Stegostoma tigrinum: one gene and its partner. The protein of the gene in region 1 binds, or shares a complex with, the protein of each later gene. Links are inferred from orthologs where the notes say so. Each region holds a gene or a part of one and is shown in the gene's direction. Other genes may lie near its edges.

What was found.
Region 2: the proteins of cstf3 (region 1) and cstf1 are in contact, whole or in part, in a crystal structure (PDB 6B3X), measured with the Homo sapiens proteins. The link is inferred for Stegostoma tigrinum from reciprocal best matches to the Homo sapiens genes CSTF3 and CSTF1. Residues at the interface, in NP_001317.1 of Homo sapiens: Tyr581, Pro582, Lys583, Pro584, Asp585, Thr586, Gln588, Met589, Ile590, Pro591, Phe592, Pro594; in NP_001028693.1 of Homo sapiens: Arg118, Glu216, Ala217, His226, Pro227, Ser228, Asp230, Phe231, Thr240, Arg242, Leu243, Tyr244, Cys251, Phe252, Val253, Ser254, Cys255, Tyr270, Ser272, Ser273, Ala274, Asn275, Gly291, Val292, Ser293, Asn294.

What each region holds. Positions count from the first base shown.
Region 1 is NC_081370.1:44,177,950-44,187,960, reverse strand, and holds the start of cstf3 (cleavage stimulation factor subunit 3), read left to right. Parts: upstream 1-5,950; 5' UTR 5,951-6,021; coding exon 6,022-6,060; intron 6,061-10,011. UniProt on the Homo sapiens protein: One of the multiple factors required for polyadenylation and 3'-end cleavage of mammalian pre-mRNAs.
Region 2 is NC_081372.1:55,104,408-55,114,712, reverse strand, and holds the start of cstf1 (cleavage stimulation factor subunit 1), read left to right. Parts: upstream 1-5,702; 5' UTR 5,703-6,011; exon of another isoform or gene 6,012-6,080; intron 6,081-7,295; exon of another isoform or gene 7,296-7,300; coding exon of another isoform or gene 7,301-8,485; exon of another isoform or gene 8,486-8,512; intron 8,513-10,305. Other genes in the region: acyl-coenzyme A diphosphatase NUDT19-like, read left to right, coding at 7,301-8,485. UniProt on the Homo sapiens protein: One of the multiple factors required for polyadenylation and 3'-end cleavage of mammalian pre-mRNAs. May be responsible for the interaction of CSTF with other factors to form a stable complex on the pre-mRNA.

The sequences.
Region 1 (10,011 bases):
ACAACAGTTTTTCATCACAATTTACCAATACTCTGAATTTAGAACTACTGTATGTTCCTCTAGTGCCACCAGTCGTCTAGAACCATATCCCAATAATAATTCTTGACATCTAAGTGAAATAATGACAGCAGGAGGAAGTGGTAGATGCAAGTACAATTACAACATTTAAGAGACATTTGAATAGATACATGAATAGGAAAAGTTTAAAATGATGCATGCAGGCAAACAGGACTAATTTAATTTGGGAGACTTGGTCAACATACGAACATAAGAACTAGGAGCAGGAATAGGCCATCCGGCCCCTCGAGCCTGCCCTGCAATTCAATAGGATCATGGCTGATCTTTTTGAGACTCAGTACCACGTACCGGCTGCACACCATAACCCTTAATTCCTTTACTGTTCAAAAATTTATCTTGCCTTGCCTTAAAAACATTAGGTAAGGTAGATTCAACCGCTTCACTGCGTAGGGAATTCCACAGATTCACAACCCTTTGGGTGAATAAGTTCCTCCTGACCTCAGTCCTACATCTGCTTCCCTTTATTTTGAGGCTATGCCCCGTAGTCCTAGTTTCACCTGCTAATGGAAACAACATCCCTGCCTCCACCTTATCTATTCCCTTCATAATCTTCTATGTTTCTATAAGATCTCCCCTCATTCTTCTGAATTCCAAACCCAGTCTACTCAGTCTCTCCTCATAATCCAACCCTCTCAACTCTGGAATCAACTGAGTGCATCTCCTCTGCACCCCCTTCAGTGCTAGTATGTCCCTTGTCAAGTAAGGAGACCAAAATGCAGGTAGTCCATATGTGGCCAAAACTGCAAGTACTCCGGATGTGGCCTCACCAGCACCCTATACAGCTGCAGCATAGACTCCCTGTTTTTCAATTCCATCCCTCTAGCAATAACAGACAAAATTCCATTTGCCTTTTTAATTACCTGCTGCACCTACAATCCTACTTTTAGCAATTCATGCGCAAGGACACTCAAGTACCTCTGCAAAGCAGCATGTTGCAATTTTTTACCATTTAAAACATAATCCATTTTGCTGTTATTTCTACCAAAATGGATGACCTCACACTTATCAACATTGTATTCCATCTGCCAGACCTTTGCTCACTCACTTAGACTATTTATTTCCTGCTGCAGACTTCCAGTGTCTTCTGCACACTTTGCTCTCCCACTCATCTTAGTGTCATCTGCATATTTTGACACTCCACACTTGGTCACCAACTCCAAATCATCCATGTAAATTGTAAACGATTGTGGTCCCAACACTGATCTCTGAGGCACACCACTAGCCACTGACCGCCAACCGGAAAAACACATATTTGCCCCTACTCTTTGCTTTCTTAGTCAACCAATCCTCTATCCATGCCAATACACTACCTGTAATACCATGCAACTTTATCTTATGTAGTAGCCTTTGGTGTGGCACCTTGTCAAATGCCTTCTGGAAATCCAGATACACGACATCCACAGGTTTCCCATTGTCCACCGCGTAAGTAATGTCCTCAAAGAATTCTACAAAATTAGTTAAACATGACCTTAATGAACGCATGCTGGGTGTTCCCAATGGGAGAATTTGTATCCAGATGTCTTGCTATTTCTTCCTTAATGATAGATTCAAGCATCTTCCCCCCTACCGAAGTTAAGCTAACTGGCCTACAGTTATCTGCTTTTTGTCTACTTCCTTTTTTTAAACAGTGGCATCACATTAGCTGTTTTCCAATCTGCGGGAACTACCCCAGAGTCCAGTGAATTTTGGTATATAATTACTAGTGCATTTGCTATTTCCCCCATCACTTCTTTTAATACCCTGGGATGCATTTCATCAGGGCCAGGAGACTTGTCTACCTTTAGCCCCATTAGCTTGCCCAGCACTGCCTCCTTAGTGATAATGATTGTTTCTAGGTCCTCACCTGCTATAGGCTGGACAATTTGGACTGATGGGTCTGTTTCCGTGCTGTATGACTCTATAACTTTTAAAAGGTTAAGAATGCAGATGCTTCAAATAAAAATATAAAGTGAAGAGTGATATCTGACTGTTTACTGTTTTCCAGCCACAGATCTTGAATGCTTTAGTGAATCACAGAGCAAACTGGTGGAACAATATCTCATTGTCAGACTAGGTACGTTACAATCTTTTGGACTTAATATTGAGTTCAATACTTGCAAACAATGCACCCACTCCCATTCCTTGCTTTTAGCTTTACTTTTACATTCTCTACAACCATGTTGTCTCTTCCCTCCCCCCCCCCACCCCAACCCTAGTGGAACTGTCTGTTCTTTTCAATCTTGCAATTAGACACACTATTGTTCTCCTTTTCTCACATTCCAATAACTTAATCTGAGCTATCAACATCCTTTGTCCCCAGCACTACCCCTGTTCCCCACTACTGCATAAATGCGACTGTCATCACACTTCACATTAGCTCTGGTGAACAGTCATTTAGACACAACATGTTAGCTTGCTTCCTCTCCATGGAAGCTGCCTGACCTGTGATCTCCAAGATAATAAAGTATGAAGCTGGATGAACACAGCAGGTCAAGCAGCATCTCAGGAGCACAAAAGCTGGCGTTTCGGGCCTAGACTGTTCATCCGAGAGGGGGGGTGGGGTGAGGGTTCTGGAATAAATAGGGAGAGAGGGGGAGGCAGACCGAAGATGGAGAGAAAAGATAGGTGGAGAGGAGAGTATAGGTGGGGAGGTAGGGAGGGGATAGGTCAGTCCAGGGAAGACGGACAGGTCAAGGAGGTGGGATGAGGTTAGTAGGTAGGAAATGGAGGTGCAGCTTGGGGTGGGAGGAAGGGATGGGTGAGAGGAAGAATAGGTTAGGGAGGCAGAGACAGGTTGGGCTGGTTTTGGGATGCAGTGGGTGGAGGGAAGAGCTGGGCTGGTTTTGGGATGCAGTGAGGGAAGGGGAGATTTAGAAGCTGGTGAAGTCCACATTGATACCTTTGGGCTGCAGGGTTCCCAAGCGGAATATGAGTTGCTGTTCCTGCAACCTTCGGGTGGCATCATTGTGGCACTGCAGGAAGCCCATGATACATGCAGCCCAATGGTACAGCAACTCATATTCCACTTGGGAACCTTGCAGCCCAATGGTATCAATGTGGACTTCACCAGCTTCAAAATCTCCCCTTCCCCCACCGCATCCCAAAACCAGCCCCGTTGGTCCCCTCCCCCCACTGCATCACACAACCAGCCCAGCTCATCCCCTCCCCCACTGCATCCCAAAACCAGCCCAGCCTGTCTCGGCCTCCTTAACCTGTTCTTCCTCTCACCCATCCCTTCCTCCCACCCCAAGCCACACCTCCATTTCCTACCTACTAACCTCATCCCACCTCCTTGACCTGTCCGTCTTCCCTGGACTGACCTATCCCCTCCCTACCTCCCCCCCCACACTCTCCTCTCCACCTATCTTCTTTTCTCACCATCTTCGGTCCACCTCCTCCTCTCTCCCTAATTATTCCAGAACCCTCACCCATTCCCCGCTCTGATGAAGGGTCTAGGCCCGAAACGTCAGCTTTTGTGCTCCTGAGATGCTGCTTGGCCTGCTGTGTTCATCCAGCTTCACACTTTATTGTCTTGTCTTGGATTCTCCAGCATCTGCAGTTCCCATTATCTCTGCTGTGATCTCCAGCATTTTTTTTGTTTTCAGTACAGATTCTACCATCTGCAGTAATTTGCTCCGAAGCAAGCCATCAAGTCCACATCAACCCTACAAAGAACATACCACTCAGACTCAGACACCCCCCCCCCCCCCCCGATCCTATCACTGTAACCCTGCATTTATATTGGCTAATCCATCTAGCCTGCACATCCTGGAAACGATGGGCAATTTAGCATGGCAATTTCACCTAAGTTGTACATCTTTGGACTATGGGAGGGAACTGTAGTATCTGGAGGAAACCCCCACAGACATAGGGAGATTGTGCAGTTGCCCAAGGGTTGAATCACACCAGTGTCCCTGGCACAGTAAGGTAGCTATGCTAAACACTGAGCCACTGTGCACCTTGCCCCTCTACCAATCAGATGCTACCAGAAACAAACATAAGAAATTGCTGGAAAAGCTCACCAGGCCTGGAAGCATCTGTAGAGAGAAATCGGAATCAATTCAGTTCTGAAAATCCTAAACGTTAACTCTGATTTCTCTCCACAGATGCCGCCAAACCTGCTGAGCTTTTTTAGCAAGATAACAGGGGTGGAGCTGGATGAACACAGCAGGCCAAGCAGCATCTTAGGAGCAGGAAAGCCAACGTTTTGGGCCTAGACCCTTCATCCAGCTCCACACCTTCTTATCGCGGATTCTCCAGCATCTGCAGTTCCCATTATCCCTGAGATTTTCTAGCAGTTTGTTTTTGTTTCTGATTTACAGCATCCACAGTTCTTTCGGCTTTTATTTAGATGTTACCAAACGTGAGTTTCTCCAGCACTTTCACTGTCTTTGAATTTTATTTTATGGTTTCAGTGTTTTTACAGCATGAGATAAAGCCCTAAATCAGTTTGCACCAGTTATCTAACTCCCAGCTGTTCTAAGATAGCACAGTGTGAAGCTGGAGGAACACAGTGGGCCAGGAACAGGAAAGTTGACGCTTCGGGTCGGGACGCTTCTTTTCCAACTCTTGGCCCATAGCCGTGTATACTATAATGTTTCAAGTATTTTCCAAACATTTCTCAAATATCCTGTGGGTTCTCGCTTCTACTACCCTTTCAGGCGGTGAGTTTCAGACACCCACCAACCTGGCGGGGGGGTGAAAAAAAGTTGCCTCAAATCCTCTGGAATTTCCTGTTCCTTCCCTTTATCACTGTGCCCCATATGATCGGAAGGCAGTTTCTGATTAACTTAACCTTTTATGACCTCTAATCAAAAATATAATCTATTCAATAGTATACCGAGACTATTTCCAACAATTCATTTTCCCTATCGCGTGAAGATGATTAGGTCGAGCGTGAGCGCAAAGCTAACGACAGAGCAGGAGAGCGAATGGATAATGCGCATGCGCCTCCGCGCCAACGGCTGCGCTTTCGTTGGCCGATCGCCGCCATTTTGTGAAGCGCTGAGGCAGCGCTGGTGGAGGAGGAGGAGGTGGTGATAGGAAGGGTTTGGAGCATTGTTGAGTTTAAAGGGAGGGAAAAAGAGAGAAAAGTGGGATTTTTAGTTTGACAGGGCCAGCTCTGCACGTACTTGAACGACATTTACCCGCGTAAATTAGTTTGGTGGTTTTTAAATCAATATTTTTATTTAAAAATCATACAATGTCTGGCGAAGGAAATGCGGAGCAGGTAGGCCGGATTCAGTTGAAGTTGTTGGCGCGGAGGGGTGGTGGAGGGGCACTGAAAGGGGAGGTGGAAACTGAAGTATCGGGTTGTAGTAGCAGTTCGTAGTGATTTACCTTTCGCAGAAGTGTTTTTTAGTCTACAACACCCCCCCCCCCCCCGTTGCGTTTTATGTCTTGTGCTGCCGTGCGAGGTTAAGATGGCGGACCAGGACCTGCATTTTCTTTTCAAAGACGGGAAGGAAAGCTGCATAACTTGTTAACCTTCACAACCCTTAATTCCCGGTCTCCTTCCACCAGTTATGATAACGCCCAGCAATTAAGGCATTTAGGCCGGGATTTTGCGAATTCTTTTTAAACCATGCCGCTAAAACACTGCAAGATTAACCCCTTTTTGGAACTGCACGTGAAAAAAAAGTATTTCATTCTCTTACTGTAAAAATTTCTTCTGGAGTATCTTGTTTTCTTTTTTCCCCAATTACGTTCGTGAATTTCCTTTCCTTCAGGATGCCTTACTTTGGCACCCGTTTTGGTAACTTTTTTTATTCGAAATTCCACCTTTGTTACGTTCGGAGCGGTATGTTTATTCAACACGTGGAGCTATTCCAGAGGCTGAGCTGAAATCACCTGACAAGTTTCGGTTGCCATCCCAGACACTGTTGTAAATTCGTATGGCAAATTTCTGTTTTCAATGAAATTGACACATTGCGTTTAGGAAACACAGTTCCTAGTCTGTTTCTCATGGCTTGTACTTGGAACCAGTTAACGTCGCACATTCAGGTTAGGAGTACATGTGGTCATTGTTCTTTTATAAACCTACTGTATCTTGTGTCTTAAGCTATTTCTATTAGTATTAATACAAGGCAGCAAGTTGTGATCTGCAATAATAACAAACGTTTGGCTAATGTGTAAATCACTATCATCATTGAATCCCTACAGTGTGGAAACAGGCCCTTTGGCCCAACAAGTCCACACCATCCCCCTATAATCCACCCAATCTACACATCCCTGAACAGTATGGGCAACTTAGCCTGGGCAGTCCACCTAGCCTACGTGACATTGGACTGTGGGAGGAAACCGAGGAAATCCATGCAGACACGAGAACGTGCAAACTCCACACGGACAGTCGTTTGAGGGTGGAATCGAACCTGGATACCTGGCGTTGTGAGGCAGCAGTACTAACCACTGGCCCACAATGTAGATGTAGGGGTACAAGTGAGTTAATGATTTTAGGAAAAGCTGACACCACAAGGAAGTACCCAGAAAAGAAAATATGAGCATGAGTAGGTCAGAGTTCCTTGAGCTTGCTCTGTACAGTAGTCATAGAGATCCACAGAACAGGAAGAGACCCTTCTGCCCATTGTGGCTGTTCCATTACAAAATAAAAACTGAAAGAACTGCAGATGCAGTAAATCAGGAACAAAAACAGAAGTTGCTGGAAAAGCTCAGCAGGTCTGCCAGTTAATGTTTCTGGGTGAGTGACCTGTAGAACAATGGCGAATGATCCCACACTGTACTCTGAAGAGTTATCTGGACTTGTACTGTTAGCTTGCTATCTCCATGGATGCTGCCTGACCTGCTGTGATCACCAGCATTTTTTTCAGTACGCTGTTCCCACATACTCCCTGTTTACACACTACGTGAAAGGGTACTTGAAAGTGTAGAAGAAAATAAAAGTATTGGGAGTCTGCACAGGTCCCTGACAGATAAAGTGGTCAAGGCCACATATGGGTACTTGCCTTTCTAAACCAGGGTATCAAGCATAAACTGGGAGATTATGCTTCAACTGTATAACTCTAGTTAGACTACAGTTGGATGTAGTTCTCGACTACACTGTTGGAAAGATGGTAAAACTTCCGATGCTGAAGTCTGAGATGATAGTTGTGGAGCTGGAGGGTCACAGCAGCCCAGGCAGCATCAGAGGAAGGAAAACCTGACGTTTCTAGTCAGGACCCTTCTCCAAAAATGGAGGGGAAGGGGGTTGTAAAATAAAGGTGGCGTTTGGGCTGGGGAAGGTAGGTGAGTGCAGCTAGGCAGTGATGGGGATTGGTCAGTGAGGTGGGAGGAGCAGATAGGTGGGAGACCAGACGAACAGGTTGTCTCAGATCAAGGAGGCAAAGATGAGAGGGGTGGGTTGGTCTTGGGACGAGACAGGGGATGGGGAGATTTTGAAGCCAGTAAAGGTCACGTTGAGGCCATTGAGTGGCAGTCTCCCAAGGTGGAATATGAGGTGCTGCTCCTCCAGTTTCTGGGTGGTGGTGGTGGTGTTGTGACGCTGGAGGAGGGCTAGGATGGACATGCCGTCCAGGGAGTCGGTTGGGGAGGTGAAGTGGTTTGCGACTGGAAGGGGTTGTTGTTTGTCGCGCTCGGTTTACAACAGACCACAACACCTTCCAGTCGCAAACCACTTGCACCCCACCCCCTGCATAGCATGTCCATCCTGGGCAGCTTGTAGCCTCTATCTAGAGATTATTAGGGAGGATTGGAAACTTTGGTCTGGTGTGTTAAGGCATTTTGAAGGAGTGCCTGCTGTGTTCATCCACTTCTACACCTTGTTATCTCAGATTCTCCAGCATCTGCAGTTCCTACTATCTTATTTGATATTTTGGGCCCTGAAAATGGGTTTACAGTATCGGGGATTAGGATGATGTATGGTGACGAATTGCTAGGATAATGGCAGCCAGAATTTTGGTTGCACTGAATTTGGTTAGATATAAGTTGCTAGGTGAGCATTGAGTACATCATTGCACTTGGGGATGTTAACAGAGATAACAGTAGCTGGGTCCATGTATAGATGGTGTGGCTATGGGGCTGCAAATCAGTTTGCACTCAGGAGATATGGTTTCGAGTTCTGATTAACAGCTAACATTTTCTTTCCCTTTTGTATCATTACAATTTATTGTAACTGGTCCAATCCTGCTTCAGGATCTTGTTAATCTTACATTGGGATATTTGAATTAACTATTCAGTTATGAATATATGTAAATAATTTTTGGAGGCTTGGGAAAAGTGACATAGTGGTGATGTAACTGGAGCGGTAATTCAGGGGGTCACAGACTGCTGCTCAGGGGAACTGCCCCGGTAGCTGGTGGGATTTAAATTCAACAGACAAATTTGGAATTAAGCCACGCTGTGGATACTACAAGACCACACTTCAATCTTGTAAAACACTGCTTGGTTTACTAGTATCAGAGATAATGGGAACTGCAGATGCTGGAGAATCCAAGATAATAAAATGTGAGGCTGGATGAACACAGCAGGCCAAGCAGCATCTCAGGAGCACAAAAGCTTTTGTGCTCCTGAGATGCTGCTTGGCCTGCTGTGTTCATCCAGCCTCACATTTTATTATCTTGGTTTACTAGTACTTTTTTTAGAAGAGAAAATGTGGGCCAGACCAGGGTAAGGATGGCAAATGTGTCTCCACATCTACAGTGATGTAGTTAGCATTTCAGTACTCTGAAAGGCCCAGCAAGCCATTTGTTCCAAGGATAATCAGAGATGCTTGGTAGATACTTTGCCAGTGGTGCTAACATCTTACAAAAGAGGATTTTTAGAAGGGATTTTGTTCTCTAAATTAGTTAAGTTGTTTTACTGCCTTTTAAAAGAAAGTGAAAATATTTCACTTCCAGTGGTGCAAAGGATTTGCACAACTGCTAATCTTTGGAGCTAAATATAGTGAATCGGTTCTTTAAATGCTGTTCAGTTTAAATAATGTTTCTAACATCTCAGGGCATGCTGGATGCATATTGCTCCATTTTAGCTGTGCCTTGTCTGGAACATGGTATAATCCTGACTATAGGTCATTCTGTTCATAGTGAGCAGTGACATGAGAATCTGCTAGATATATTAATTATCACATTTCTTGAAAGACAAAAGCTGCAATACCATTGACTTGCTTTCTATTAGAAGACTGTCAGCTATCAAATAGTGACAATCTATTCCTAAATGTTTTTGAGCTTAAAAGTGACAGCAAGTATGAGCTAATATTTAGTGTACAAAATAGGAAATTTTAAGACTTAACTGGCTCCTTTTCCACTTAGTGTAAGTCAAGTTCATAGATCACAAATTGAAAGCATGTGGCCAGATGTATGTATTAAGCTTGTTGCGTTATCAGTTGGTATTCCTGTCAAATTTTAACACATTTTGATATTTTTAGGACAAGTGAATTGGTGTGACTTCGAAAGGCAAGATTATCTTGAGATACCACAGTTTTTAAGACATGCATCGAATGATAGTTTTACACCCTCATCTTCCAGTCATTTGATGATAAATAAAATGAGGGGGGTAGGACCAGAAAATCACCTCTAAAACAATGATTCAAAATTGTTTAAGATTGGACTGACAAATCTGGAGGAAAAACTCCAGGAATGTGCTGGCAAAATTCGTAGAACAGTGGTTCCAGATAACAAGTAGAAACGTACAATTTTAAGAGATTAACCACCTTTGAATGCAAATACATCTTGTCTGAAGAAGCAAGAATTACTTGCTGGTGTTGCCAAGAAAATCATTTTGTGGACTCTGTCTAGTTTTCTATCACATGTGATTGAGTGAAAAGAAGTCTTTTTACTCAGTTTATTGATATCAAACGGTGTTGATAGAGACGCTTTGACAAGTGGCCCAGGATAGCAACTCTTTAAACAAGTTGCAATTATATTGCAATTTTGGTAAATTTTAATCTGGAATTATTGTGTGCAGCAGTTTAAATTTCTCTGCCAGTCAACAAATTATTTA
Region 2 (10,305 bases), on another chromosome or scaffold:
TGGTGTTGTAACTGGACTGGAATGGCTTAGCAAGGGGTGTGGCCAGTTTTGGCACATAAGTCTTCAATGTTATCAAGGCCCATAGCTTTTGCAGTATCCAATGCCTTCGCCTGTTTCTTGATATCATGTGGAGTGAATTGAATGAGTTGAAGGTTGTCATCCATGATTCTGGGGACCTCAGAAGGAGGCCCAAATGGAAAATCACTTTGACACTTCTGGCTGAAGATGCTTTCTGGGTTTCAGTGTTGTCTTTTTCTTCCAGCATTGATGTGTTGGCCTCCCCCCGTTATTGAAAGTGGGGATATTTGTGGAGTTTGCTCCTTGAGTGAATTGACTGATTGTCCACCACCATTCACCAAAGATTGTTGGAGGACTGCACAGCTTAGTTCTCATTCACTGGTTACAGGATCACTCAGCTCTATCTATCTCATGTGCTTACACTGCTTTGCATGTACAAAGTCCTGAGTAGTAGTTTCACCAGGTTGAGACTGTATTTTAGGTATGCCTGATGCTGTTCCCAGCTTGGCCTCCTGCACAGTTATTGACTGTAGGGTTGATCTGCTGTCTTATTGGTCATGGTTGAGTGGGTAATACACTGGATCGTAAGTTTATAAATTGTAGTTGAATACAGTTCTGCTGCTGCTGATGGTCCACAGCACCTTCTGGATGTCCAGTCTTGAATTTCTAAATCTGTTCAAAATCTATTCTATTCTACACAGTAGTAATGCCAAACAACACAATGGACGTGGTACTTAGTGTGATAGCATGACTTCATCTCCACAAGGTGTGTTCAAGAGTCACTTCTTTTTGTGCAAGGGAAATTGTGTCTCACAAACCTGATTCAGTTTTTTGAGGAAGTAACCAAAAAGATTTATGAGACCAGAGCAGTAGATGTTGTTTAGTTGATCTTTAATAAAGCTTTTGATAAGATTCTTCATGATAGACTAATAAGTAAAGTTGCATCACATGAGATTCAAGGTGAGCTTGCCAATTGGATGCAAAATTGGCTTTATGGCAGGAGACAGTTGGTGGTGGTGGAGGGTTGTTTTTGGACTAGAGGCCAGTGAGCAGCAGTGTTCCACAGGGATTGGTATCGGGTCTACTTCTGTCAATAAATGTGGAGCTGGAAAACCATAGCCAGTCAGACGGCATCTGAGGAGCAGGAAAGTCAACATTTTGGCCGAAACCCTTCATCATTGACTCTCCTGCTCATCAGACGCTGTTTCACCTGCTGTGCTTTTCCAGGCCCACATTTATTGACTCTAGCTTCCAGCATCTGCAGTCCTTACTGTCTCCATTGGGTCCACTTTTGTTTATCATTAATATAAATGATACAAATGAGAATACAGGAGGCCTGGTTAGTAAGTTTACGGATGGCACCAAAATTGGCAGTATAATGAACAATGAGGAAGGTTATCTAAGATTACAAAGAGATCTTGATGAATTGGTACAATGGGCTGTGGAGTGGCAGATGGAGTTTAATTTGTATAAATGCAAGGTATTACATATTGGTGAAACAAACAAAGGCAGGACTTAGAAAATTAATGGCAGAGTAGTGGTATACAACCAAGAGTCCTAGGGGTTCAAGTACATAATTGTTTGAAATTTGTGTCACAGGTAGAAAGGATGGTTAAGAAAGTGTTTAGCATGCCTCCTCTCAATGCTCAGACCTTTGAGTTTAGGAGTTCAGATTTCATGTTTGAGTTGTACAGCACATTGGTAAGGTCTGTTCTGGAGTACTGTGTGCAGCTCTGGTGACTCTGTTATAGGAGGAATATTACTAAATTGGAGAGGATTCAGAAAAGATTTACCAGGATGATGCCAGGAATGGAGGGCTTGAGTTATAGGAAATGCTGGATAGGCTAGAATTTTTTTCACTGTAGTGTGAGAGGTTGAGGGGTGAGAGATTTATAAAACATGAGGGGCATACATAAGGTGAATAGCAAAGGTATTTTCCCTAAGGTGGGGGCATATTTTTAAGGTGACAGTAGAAAGATTTAAAATGGGCACAATAAACAACTTCTCTACACAGAGAGTGGTTAGTATGTGGAGTGAATTGCCAGAGAAAGTGGTGGGTGGAAGTACAGTTACAACGTTTAAAAGACATTTGGATAAGTATATGAATAGGAAATGTTTACAGGGATATGGGCTATTTGCAGGCAGGTGGGACTGGTTTAATTTTGAAACATGGTTGGTACGGACCAGTTGGACTGAAGGGCTGTATACCTCTATGACAAATGCATCTGCTGCAGTTGGAGAAATGACTTCTCTCAAAGGGTTGTGAATTTGTGAAATTCACCATCCCCAGACAGTGGTGGATGCCAGAACATTGAGCAAATTTAAGGAGAAGATACACTGATTTTTAATTAGTAATTGGTTGAAAGGTTACAGAGAGCAAGTGGGAAAGTGGAGTTGAGGCCTACATGAGATCAGCCATGTATTAAAAGAGCAGGCTCATGGGCTGAATTGCCGACTCCTGCTTCTAGTTCTTGTGATTATTGAGGATGAGGTCAAAGTACATCTTTTCTTTTTGTTGGTTCCCTCACCAACTGACACAGGCCCAGTCTACAGACTATGATCTTTAGGACTGGGTCAGTATTTGTGCTACAGAGCCATGCTCGTTGATGGATATTGAAGTTTCCCATCATTCTGTTGCCCTGAATCCCTTGGTGCCTCCTCCAACATGGAGAACTCATTCACCAGCCTTTTTTTGGGTGCAGAGGGGGCTGGAGGGGTGGGTGGCATCATGGATGGCAAACAGCAGATTACCTTCACATGTTTGGCATGATGCCAAAAGACTACTTTGGAATCAATGCTGAAGACTCCAAGGACAACTCTATCCTGACTGTATACCACTGTGCCACCATCTATGATGGTTCTGTCCTGTCAGTGGGACTGGGCATACCAAGGGATGATGGTATTTGGGACATTGTCCTCTGGATATGATTCCATGAACATGACTATGTAAGGTTGTTGTTTGACTATTTTGTGCTTGTCGACTTTTGTAGGACTGCTCCTCCAGCCGTACAGCCTCCCCACTACCCTTCTTATTTCAGCCATTTGTGCATCTCCCTTCAATTAATGCTGTGTCTTCAGCTGCTTACCTGCTGCTCTACCAGCTTCCTCTACTTTGAGTCCCTGCTTGAACCCCATTTCTTCAAGTCAGCTTTTAGTCGCCCTTCCTTTGCTCAGACTTTGTCAAGGTACCTGGTTTCCCTAATGTCAAAAAGCAACTCAGAATCTCTAAAGATTGTAAATTATTATGCGAGCATTGAACTTCACAGAGACAAAATGGAAAGTGAAAAAGGGACAACCCCAATTTTGTATCTACATTTAAGGCAACTGGATAGGAAATTTAATTCTTTTATTATAAATATTATCCTGTTGTAATGCTAGCTGCAACTCTTTCTATTCTTGCAGCATGGTCATCCTGACCCACAGATGGAGTAATGTTTGGTAGTGTGTAGCATGCCAGCTCAGAGATGGGCTGTTTGTATGTTTATTTATTCATTTGTGGGATGTGGACGTTGCCAATTAGCCAGTATTTATTGCCATCTCTACCAGCCCTTGAAAAGGTAGTGGTGAGCTGCCTTCTCGAACCGCTGCAGTCCACCTGCTGTGTGTTGACCCACAATACTATTAGGGAGAAAATTCGAGCATTTTGATCCAACGACAATGAAGGAACAGCAATACACTTCCAAGTTAGGATAGTGAGTGGCTTGGAGGGGAACTTGAAGGTAATGATGCTCCCGGGTATCTGTTGTTTTGTCCTTCTAGATGGAAATGCTTGTGGGTTTGAAGGGTGCTATCTGAGGATTTTTGGTGAATTTCTGTGGTGTGTCTTGTAGATCGTACACATTGCTGCTACTGAGCATCAATGGTGGACAGAATGGATATAGTGCCAATCAAGTGGACTGTTCTTTTTTCCTGTATGGTACCAAGCTTCTTGAGTGTTGTTGGAGCTGCACCACCCAGGCAAGTGGGGAGCATTCCATCAGATTCCTGACTTGTGCCTTGGAGACATTGGACAGGCTTTGGGAGTAGGAGACAGTGGGAGTAGGTGAAATTCACCATCCCCAGACAGTGGTGGATGCCAGAACATTGAGCAAATTTAAGGAGAAGATACACTGATTTTTAATTAGTAATTGGTTGAAAGGTTACAGAGAGCAAGTGGGAAAGTGGAGTTGAGGCCTACATGAGATCAGCCATGTATTAAAAGAGCAGGCTCATGGGCTGAATTGCCTACTCCTGCAGTATTCACCGCAGTATTCCAAGCATCTGACCTGCTCTTGTAGCCACTGTGTTTATGTGGAAAGTCCAGTTGAGTTTCTGGTCAATAGTACCCCCTTGTATGTTGATAGTGGGGGAATTCAATGATGGTAACACCATTGAATGTAAAGGGGCAGTCGTTAGATTCTCTTCTTGGTGTGTCGGTACAATGGAAACAATCTGTCTCTCAACATCGGCAAAGCTAAAGAACTGAAATCAACTTCAGAAAGAAAGTAGGAGAACATGCCCCCCAACTACATCATCGGAACTGAGATTGACAGTGTGAAGAATCAAGTTCCTTAGAGTGATGGTAACTGACAGTCTGTCCTGGACTTTCCATGTAGATGTGGCAGTCAAGAAAGCACAACGATACTTCTTCTTCCTCACTCAGCTCAGGAAAATTGGCATGTTCATAAGGTCCCTCACCAACTTCTACAGATGCACCATCGAAAGCATACTATGTGCAAAACAGCCTGGTCTGGCAACTGATCTGCCCTGGACTGTAGGAAACTACTGAAGGTGATGTGCACAGCACAGTCCAGCTTTTTTTTCCGCCCACTATCAGACTGTTGAATGGACTGTAGCCCCAAATAATGAACCTGGCAATGTAACTTGTATGCCTCTAAGTGTTTTTCATCTGTACATTCCTTTGCTTGCCGTGATTTGTCTGTACCGCTTGTAAACAAAGATTTTCACTGTATTTCAGTACACATGATAATAAAATCTAAATCTAAATCATGTTACTTGCCACTTGTCAGCCCAAGCCTAGATATTGTACAGGACTTGTTTCATTTGAACACAGACTGCTTCAGTATCAGAGAAGTTGTGAATAGTGCTGAACACTGTGCAATTATCAGCGAACATCCCCACTTCTGATTTTATGATGGAGGGAATGTCATTGATGAAGCAGCTGAAGATAGTTGGGCCTAGGGCACTATCCTGAGGAACTCCCGCAGAGATGTACTAGGGCTGACAATAATTGACTTCCAACAATCATGACCTCTTTCTTTGTGCTGGGTATTACTCTAAGCAGCAGAGAGCTTTTCCCCTGATATCTATTGATTCCAATTTTGCTAGGGCTCCTTGATGCCACACTTGGTTAAATGCGGCTTGGATGTCAAAGGCTGTTACTCTCACCTCAGCTTTGCAGACAAAGCTGGAAGAACACAGCAAGCCAGGCAATATCCGAAGAAGGGTTATATCTGAAAAGTTGACTGCTCCTTTCCTCCAGATGCTGCCGGGCTTGCTGTGTTCTTCCAGCCTCCTGTTTGTCTACCTTGGATTCCAGCATGTGCAGATTTTTTATGGTGTCTACAAATTCTTTATATCTACCTCACCAACCCAAAATTCCTGGGTTTTGAGGAGGGCTCAACTGGGCCCAAAATGTTAACTCTACCTTTTCTCCATAGACGCTGAATGAGTTACTGTTTCCCCTGAGCGAGTGGCACGCATTCGCTGTGCGCATGGGCAACGCAGAGTTTGAGCGAGCAGCGGAAGCGGCGTGCCTGGGACCGTGCGCCGGCGCACTCGGTGAGGTAAACTTGGACGTGTCCGTGCGAGCTCAAGAGCAGCATCGCTGTTTTTGCTCATGTTCCGGATCTGTGCACAGCCGCTGAAGACAGGTTGTCAGCTTCGGAAACTTAACGCAACTGTGATCTGGAACCAACCTCGTAACAAAGCGTAAACAAAACGTGTCACGCGTAACGGGCGAAGAGTTGGAATCAGTGTCAGCACTTCAGCCGGTAGGGTATATAACCCCAACATTGCACCCGCTTCCTTTTACATACAAACTACAAGGAAGGGTGGGCACGGTAAGATAAAACCCCGACCCAGGGAAAGGAGAGCCCCGGCCACCCCTCCCCTTTAGGCCCGAAATGTCAGCTTTCCTGCTGTGATGGTGCTTGGCCTGCAGTGTTCATCCAGCTCTACACCTTGTTATTTCAGTCGTGTTAAGGGGCTGGGCACTCGGGAGTACGGCTGCTGGCTGTCATAGAGTGTGGGGGGCATTGAAGAGGGAAACACGGATGTGGTGAAATGAACTGAGTGGGCTAATGGTGGCTTGGGGGTTGAGTTTATCTGAATAATTGCGGTAGGGTTTGTGGGAGCAGAGTGGTGGGTTTGATTGAGGAGGGTGATTTCATTGATGGTGAGAGGTATTTGGGAAAAATCGCATGACGAAACCCAAGGCCTCTGTAGAAGTCCAGAGGAGCTATCCTTGTGGTTCACAAAGAAACAAGTTTTTTTTAAAAAATGTTCAATATTTACCTCGGCCTCGATGGCTATAATCCAATTCCTGGTAACTTTGTTGAAACAGGTAAGCTAGAGGTTCTTCTTTCTTTCGGGCTCCAGGCAATCTCGTAATAAGGTTGCCACAATGTCAAGTGAGAAAGATTGTGACATTGCAGAACGAGTGGAATCAAAGAGGGTGATTTACAATGCACTGCCTTCCAACAATCACGACCTTTTTCTTTGTGCCAGGTATGACTCTAAGCAGCAGAGAGCTATTCCCCTGATATCTATTGATTCCAATTTTGCTAGGGCTCCTTGATGCCACACTTGGTTAAATGCGGCTTGGATGTCAAAGGCTGTTACTCTCACCTCAGCTTTGCAGACAAAGCTGGAAGAACACAGCAAGCCAGGCAATATCTGAAGAAGGGTTATATCTGAGTCCAAGAGTTGAAATCCAATTCAGTGATCAAATTCCCACTAGCACAATTACTGTGTATTATTTTGCTTGGGATTGGGGGATCTTGCAAAGTTGACCACGTGGCGTTATGGGCAGTGTGTTCAGTGGGGATCTTATATGATGTAGGCCTGGGGTTTTTTATGCTTAACAAGGTCTACAAGCTTTCTAGTGAATCTGCTGTTTTTTTAAAAGTTCTTTGGGGAAGATGTGAGCCCCCAGTATTAGAGATTGCTGGGGGGGGGCTGGTTTGAGCAAGATGGCATTGGGGTTGCTAATGAGCTGTAAGAGCTGTACAGAGCCAGCAACAACTAATAAATTAATAGATTGTACCTTTTTGCAGCAAAGATGAACCGAGACTTAAAGTATTGGAAAGAAGCAGCCACTGTCATCTTAACTTCAGGTATTCGAAATTGCTTTGTGGACAAAGGTTCCACCAGTACACAGGCTTGTCAGCCTCCACATTCAGTGTCTAAACAAGAGACAAATGTAATTCACTCATGGTTGGAGATGCCTGTCTTTGATTATGCTGTACTTATGTTACAACGGAGTGCAAAAAGCAGTTTCATGCCTCATGCTCAGGTGTTCCCTGGAGGTACAGTCAGTTCATCTGATTTTTCCAGTGAGTGGATTCAGATGTTTCAGCCCTTTTGCAAGCCACCCAACTTTAAACTAGGTACAGTCAAGCAAACCTCCAAGAGACCTCCAATTCTTGCAATGGACAGGAGAAATCTAGGATCAGAAATCCCTGGAGAAGTAGCTTTCCGTATTTGTGCTATAAGGGAAACCTTTGAAGAATCAGGGATTCTACTTGTGAAGCCAAATGCCTCTGAAACATGTTTGAGCAGCCAAGGGGCCATAAAGCTTCCACAGTACGATCAAAAGGAACTTGCAAATTGGAACCAGCTTGTACGGAAAAATGCAGCAAATTTTGTAGAACTTTGCAAACAGCTGGACTGTGTACCAAATATTTGGGCATTGAAGGAGTGGAGTAATTGGTTAACACCCACGTATATGGAGAGAAAACGTTTTGATACTGTATTCTTCATCTGTTGTTTGCAAGAGATTCCTTTCACAATGCAAGATGGCCATGAAACTATTTCCTACAACTGGATGTCCCCATCTGATTTTATTGAAAGCTGTAATTTGGGGAAACTTTACATCGCTCCCCCACAGTGGTATGAACTGGGCAGACTATGCCAATTACCCCATTTCCAAGATCTGCAACAGTTTTGCCATTATCGGGCATTGGAAGGCTGTGAGCGATGGCTTCCGATCCGTTTCCTTGCTTCTGATGGCTATGCGATTTTGTATCCTGGTGATGAACTTTATCCAGAGGATCCAGATTACACAGGGGAAAAGGAGATGAACTTCACTTCCTCGAAAACTCTGGAACAGCTGAGGTTGGAGGTTACCAGACTACATCGCATGGAACTGAGAGATCAGTATTTTACTCTGTATGTGAATATTGAGCCCCAGTATAAACATATCAAACCACTAATTGTGAACACAAGAGTCTCCAGACATCTGTAAATTCCATTTAACGAATAAACAAAAATACCTGTCAGAAACAGTGTTCTTAAATGATACAGGTTATTTTTGAAGGCAACAATATCAAAAAATAATTAGAATTAGGTTTATTGCCATATGTACTCAAGTACTGGAGTATGGTGAAAATTGTATAAAGTCGCCATTCACTGCACCATCTTAGGTACAAAGGTATCAGAGATAATGGGAACTGCAGATGCTGGAGAATCCAAGATAATGAAGGGTCTAGGCCCGAAACGTCAGCTTTTGTGCTCCTGAGATGCTGCTTGGCCTGTTGTGTTCATCCAGCCTCACATTTTATTATCTTAGGTACAAAGGTACCTAGGTACAAGATAAAAACATAAAGAAATAAGGCAAAAGTACAGCAATTCCATAAATGAAGAACTATTAATCTTTTTGAACATCCTGTTTAAGGGATACATTAAAATACTCTCTAGAAAAGGAAACAAGTATTCTTAGAATATTAAATGTTTAGAGGAACATTCAACAGAGAATCCTGACAGGTATCTAGACACAATACCAGGGAAGATGAGTTGTGGTAATAATGAACTAGGACTCTGATGAAGTGTGAATTGTTGGCTTCAGTATATTATACCTCCCCCAAAACAGGTCCCAATGACTCAGGAATGTAAAAACCTCCCTTCTGCACCATCTGTACATTCACACATTTGTCTGTTATTTGGTATATTCTCATGCAGCAGTTTGCTAACTTGACAGGGAAAGATAACCAGGATGTTTTCTTATTATAAAAAAAACAAGTTATGCAAATGGTTGGAAGAGATAGATGGAACTGAAAGAAAAAATTAAGGTATGAGCTGAAGTCAAGCTATGACAATGCAAATGTCTCAGCTTTACATTGCATGTTTGCAAGGGCACAAGCCATAATAAGCAAGGTTCATGAGCTGTAGGCTCAGGTACTCACATAGGAATATGACATATTGGTGATAAATAGACTTGGCTCAAAAAAGGTAGCAGTGCAAGGCATTCAGCAAATGTAGGAAAGGAAAAGGCGAAGGGTGATAGTATTAGTTAAAGAGAATATTAATGTGCTGGATAGAGGTTGTACTTGTACAAGTTACTGGTTTTGAGAGCTAATGTTTAAGTTGCATGAGCTTCGCGCAATCTAATGTTATTACAAAGTCTTTGAATAGAGAAAGTTAGTTTTGCACAAATTACCAAATAAGTCAAATGTGATATACATAGTTTCTGATTGTTGTAATAATTGCCTAATCTTATTAAGACTATAGAGAACAGAGGTCTTTCCTCCACTACCGATAAATACGCAGGCCCTTATACTCAATAAGAAAGGAAGATCAGTGCAGTGAACTACCCCAACCACAGGCCATCAGATGGTTAACATATAAAAGATATGACATGATGAGTAGCAGTATGGACATAAACTCCATTTGATCTTGAAAGAAAATGTGCAGAAGTGGGATACAATTTCAAAACAGCAAAAAGCCAAATGCTCACTCTGCCACGGGTTAATGTGTCCACCACTGTTAGAAATGGTACAATAGGTAATATACCTCCATTAGAAAACATGCTAGAGCGATTTCATGGAGAAATTACACAACCTAACCTATTTGTATATATCAATGAATATCTTATTAGTTTTAAATTCAAACAAGTGTGGCTGTCCTATCAGACCATGGCTGATGAGAAAAAAGTGTACAGCCTGTAGTGGTAAAACTAACATGCTAAGGGGAGTACGAGCCAACGAGGGCTGATAAGAGAAGTCAGGGACAGCAAAGAAGCAAAGAAAAAGCATGCAATGTAGTGAAGATTAGTAGGAAGCCAGAGGA